2 linked regions of the Kluyveromyces lactis genome follow. The protein of the gene in region 1 purifies or fractionates together with the protein of each later gene. This does not show direct contact. Links are inferred from orthologs where the notes say so. Each region holds a gene or a part of one and is shown on either strand. Other genes may lie near its edges. The genes, in order: COX8 and COX4.

Region 1 (2,480 bases):
TTTAACAGAGACAATCACCTTCTTTGGAAATCGACAAAAGGTCACATGAAATCCTTAAGTCTTTGTTTAGTAACTCCTCCAAGAAAAAACAAACAGTCGAGATGCGGTATTGCTTCCACTCATGAATAATAATACTGATAGGAGAAGAAGTCATAATATGAGAACGTATTAGCATGATAAAAGGGTACCGAATAAAAAAAAATACCATTAATGATTTTTAACCAATAATTCATCAGAATGACTGTTAATCTGTGTATGTGTTGACATAAATAGAGAAATAAAAGGTTGTGGGATGTTATAGTAACGATAGGTAATTGGGAGGAAAAAAAGGATCGAATACAATTCTCCGTATTATGGACACAGAGGTTTCAAACCTCATGGCCGCACACGAATATGTTGATTTAGATAGAAAAACACAAAGTATTGCGTTTTTTTATTCAGTCCTTAGTTTTCAGCAGCCTTTTGTTCAGCCAACTTAGCGTAGTAAGCTTCTCTCTTGTTGATGATGTTCTTGTGGAAACCCCACCACCAATAGGAAGCCATAGCACCACCAATAGCGAAACCGATGGTGATATCGGCCAAGATTCTCTTTCTAATAGTACCAGTGATTGGAGCAATTGCAGACATTATTCTTTGATGTGAAGTGAGAGTGATTGATGTGAGATGAACAAACCGTTAAGGATAGCAACAGCTAATGAAAAAGGCTAAAGTCAACACTAAGAGGGGACAGAGGAAAGATATACAAAGTACTAATCAAATATCAAAATTTCAAGAAGTAAAAGAAAATCAGAAAAACCATACGACTAAAGTAAAGAACCGAAGACAGTTAGAAAAAAAATTAACCAAAACCTGTAATGGATAGTAGAGCCAGGTAAGTTTATTTCAATTTTTTTTAATTTTTAAAGTTTCTCGATTTTTCAAGCTGTCACCAAGAGGGAATTGACATTCAGAACTCCAGTAATACCGAGTCATACTGTAGTGTGGATTTTCAAGACAATATCTGATTGAGACTCTCAGTAGGTTCCGGTAGAACCTACTATCGGTTGCCCATCAATATAGCCAAGAGAGAGGTATCGCTTTTCTTCCTCTAATACTGACAGCACCGGATTGGCAAAGAGGGAAGATTTCCCGTCAGAGAAACTCTGGGGCAGCCATTGATCGCAGGTCATGTGCCTCTTATCATCTTAGTGTAGTTAGTACAAGTAGACAAGAAAGGATCTCGCGTTAAAACCGAAATTCCCATTAGCCAATGATATCCCAGGATTCGACGTGAGTGTGTCTGTATTCAGAAAAATATGTACACGGGGAAATCACGTTCCACGAAGACACAGCAGAGCTTTGCTTTAAGAGTGAAAGTCGGAAATCTTACACCATTACCCGGATACTCCGTTTGTGTCTCACTACTTTCTGAGCCGTTTTCCCACTTCTGTCAATTTTTTTTGTTATTGCACGACTTTTTCCTAATCCTGTTTCTCTTCTTAGCAGCGATAGAAAGGTAAAAAAAATATATCGTATTATTTTTTTTTTCATATTTCAATACAATTAGCACTGCAATTTACAACTCTTGTTAAGGATGGTTTATAGTTTATTGTTGATATTAATAACTTTGTTTCGATAACCTAGCGTCCAATACCACAGCAAATATTCCAATCAAAACATGTTTTCCCAAGTTACCAGACTAGCCACCAGAAGAGCCTTCTCTGCCACTTCCAAGCAATGTGGTGCCCACTTCAAGGAAGGTGTTTACTCGAACATCCCAGTTAAGATTCACAACAGAAAGATCCCATACGCTTTCATCCACTTCGGTTTCTTTGCTCTAGGTTTTGCTGTTCCATTCATCTCTTCTTACGTGCAATTGAAGAAGTTTGGTGCTTTCTAAATGAGTGGATAGAAATAAATTTCCTGCCCTCTTTGTTATATCGTATCCTTTCACAATAATTTTCGTTTTATTTTCATGTCATCATTGCTACACATTCCATCCATCTGCAAATGTCCGCACTATTGCAGCCAGCCGGCGAACATATTCTATTCTATTACTTGATGAATAATGAATAGTCAGTCCGAGGTTTAAAGAAAATACCAAGCACATCACAATAACCAAAACCAGACAGCAAAATAGAATATTACTCAACTCTTCATTTCACATTTATTTATCTCTCGAGAGTGATGTATACCTGCACTCGTCGAAATCAAAAACTAAAGCAACGGTTCGAAGCAATCTGAAGCTAAAGTTGAAATTAGTGACTTCATCGACACTTTGACGAGACTCATGCAAACAAAAAATCACAAACAGATAACAAAGGAATTAACATTATCATACTCCTGGACCGTTCGTGAGATCTAATAATAATCTTAAAAGAAAAATAGCACAAGAGATAAGTGGATTTGGAATCAAGTTTCACCGGGAGTCTTCAATCGTTTCCCTCATTTTTTTCTATCTTCCGACTATCAGCTCAAAGAAATACTATATTATCAACATG
Region 2 (2,720 bases), on another chromosome or scaffold:
ACTTTCGTTGGTGTATTGGGTCTTCTACTGGCATCATGTTCACTGTCCTACGAACCTTGGCAAGCTGCATATGATGAATATGGGATGGGTGGTCTCATGAATGCTGGTTTCTCTCGTTGGAATGGATTTGGGAAATTTTTGGTCGTTGTATTGATCTTATCTTTAATCTCGAATAATATTGTTAACACATACTCTGCAGCATTCTCCATCCAATTATCAAGTGTGATGTTAGCCAAGGTGCCTCGTTGGATCTGGGCTATCGGATGTACCATCTTTTACCTCGTATGTGCGCTAGTAGGTAGAAACAGTTTTTCCACCATCTTGGGAAATTTCCTACCTATGATTGGTTACTGGATTAGCATGTACTTCATCTTACTCGTGGAAGAGAACGTCATCTTTAGAAACTGGTTCCACCATCTATATAAATTGGAATTCCCCAATGACATAGAAGTGAAACCACATCATAAACTAAGGAAATTACCAAGGCACATCCACAGGTACAACTGGGATGAATGGGACAACTCTGAAGTCATCACAAGAGGATTGGCTGCATCCGCTGCGTTCTGCATCGGTGTTGCTGGTGTGGTACTTGGAATGTGTCAAACGTATTACGTGGGGCCACTTGCCGCAAAGATTGGCGAGTATGGCGGAGATTTAGGTATGTGGCTCGGTATGGGTTTCGCAGGAGTATCATATCCACCACTAAGGTACTGCGAACTGAAGAAATTTGGCAGGTGAACCATTTTCCCCATTATCTGACATTATACACATATAATAGAAACACACATATATGTACACACATATATGTATATAACCTGTCACGCGACGCGCGCCAGATCAAATGAATAATCTCTTTAATATTAATGGCATGGCATTGCCTATATAAATCACATGACCTCTAGCCAACCATATCGCAGAATTCTCACTCAATTGACAACACCCACACTAGATCCTACTCTCGCCGGAAACAAAATAGAAACAAATACGAAAGACTACTCCAGCTAAAAAATGTGTACATCACTATGTACGAGTAGACACCTTTTTTGTATCTTTCCTTCTTCTCCCTGCTCCAATCATACTGGGAAACATGATGTGATTTTTGTACGTTTTTTGTTATAAGCGATAATTTTCATTTCTTGATTTTCGCAGGATATTGGAACCGAATGTATATATATGAATAATATTTTCAACAGTGATTTCAGAGTTTTAGAAAGTAGCTAAAGACGTTTTATCAAGTTTGTTCAAGAGAGTCATACGTTTGTTTCAGAGGGTTTTCTTTCGCCGATTACTTTCATTTGCGAATATATTCAACTGATCACCTTATCTGTCTCAGCTAGCTTACAGTATCCAAGTGGTTCTTTTTGTCATATATTGCTAATTGATTAGTTCATTACAATTCAAATATACCTTTGTTCCATCGTTTTAGATTCACACATCGGAGTATCTAAGTTATCACCTATCAATCCAATCACAAAGAAGAAATAATGTTGTCTCTACGTCAATCCCTATCGAAGTTGTTCGGCCCAGCATCCAGAGCTTTTGCTACCACCAAGGTTGCAGGTGATCAACAAGTTGTTAAGACTGCTACCAAGTTGGCTGAAGTTAACGGTGCTGACACTTTGATTGGTCCTGGTGCCAAAGACGGTGAAGTTCCAACCGAATTGGACCAAGCCACTGGTTTAGCCAGATTGGAATTGTTGGGTAAATTGGAAGGTATCGAAGTTTTCGACACCAAGCCATTGGACTCTTCCAGAATCGGTACCATGGAAAACCCAATCATTGTTGAATCCTACGATGACTACCGTTATGTCGGTGCCACTGGTTCCCCAGCTGGTTCTCACAACGTCATGTGGTTGAAGCCAACCGACGGTCAAGTCGCCAGATGTTGGGAAACCGGTTGTGTATACAAGCTTAAGATGGTCGGTGTTCCTCAAGAAGGTCACCATTAAGCATTTTAATCCTTCCTTCCATATCATTCCCACTTATCCTGGTAAAAAAAGGATTAACAACCAGTGTACCACTATATCATTCTAAAAATTCCAATACAAATGTCAAATACACAAACCTATTCTAAAATATTACAAAATAATAAATTACACAAGCTGAAGCAACAAATTACACAAAAAGTTTAGTGGGGACATATACTTGAACTGGTCCTGCACATAATCAAGATTTGTTTATATGTTTGGAAAGCGGGGAACAGGCCAGATCTATTGAATTTTAAAAGAATGATTGATTCATATTTTATACCAATTGCCTCTATTTCTTTCCCCCCCCGGATCGTTTAAACCAATTAAAGACTTATGTTACACATTGTTTCTCTACATACTACATTTCACAGGTAAGAACTCATTATTTAAATTAAGTACGATTTTATCAATAAAATTTCAAAAAAAAAAGTCTTTGTTTCAAGGTGACACCGAGGGTCAGTATGACAATTACCGATACAGAAGTAATTACCGAATATTCAAAACACTTAGTAGTTGCAAAGCAACCTTTTCAGATTATATGTATATCATCTATGAAGGGGAATTACCCCAATGATAGATGGACTTATCGGCACTTTAAGGGTTTGTTCATTTTCAGGGACTGTTTCGAAGTGGTGTTGATGATAAAAGGAAAAACAAAAAAATGTACACCCATACATACTCAAATATTAAAAAAGTTTCTCCCAAACAGTTGAAGCGAAAGAAAAGTGTAATTTAACGTATTAGGAAATT

Evidence for each region.
Region 2: the proteins of COX8 (region 1) and COX4 purify together in Saccharomyces cerevisiae (affinity purification with mass spectrometry; 4 studies listed by BioGRID, with this or other methods). This does not show direct contact. The link is inferred for Kluyveromyces lactis from reciprocal best matches to the Saccharomyces cerevisiae genes COX8 and COX4.

Annotation. Positions count from the first base shown.
Region 1 is NC_006038.1:298,933-301,412, forward strand, and holds COX8 (cytochrome c oxidase subunit VIII), read left to right. Parts: upstream 1-1,657; coding exon 1,658-1,879; downstream 1,880-2,480. Other genes in the region: COX9 (cytochrome c oxidase subunit VIIa), read right to left, coding at 445-627. UniProt on the Saccharomyces cerevisiae protein: Component of the cytochrome c oxidase, the last enzyme in the mitochondrial electron transport chain which drives oxidative phosphorylation.
Region 2 is NC_006040.1:437,169-439,888, forward strand, and holds COX4 (cytochrome c oxidase subunit IV), read left to right. Parts: upstream 1-1,484; coding exon 1,485-1,949; downstream 1,950-2,720. Other genes in the region: TPN1 (Tpn1p), read left to right, coding at 1-738. UniProt on the Saccharomyces cerevisiae protein: Component of the cytochrome c oxidase, the last enzyme in the mitochondrial electron transport chain which drives oxidative phosphorylation.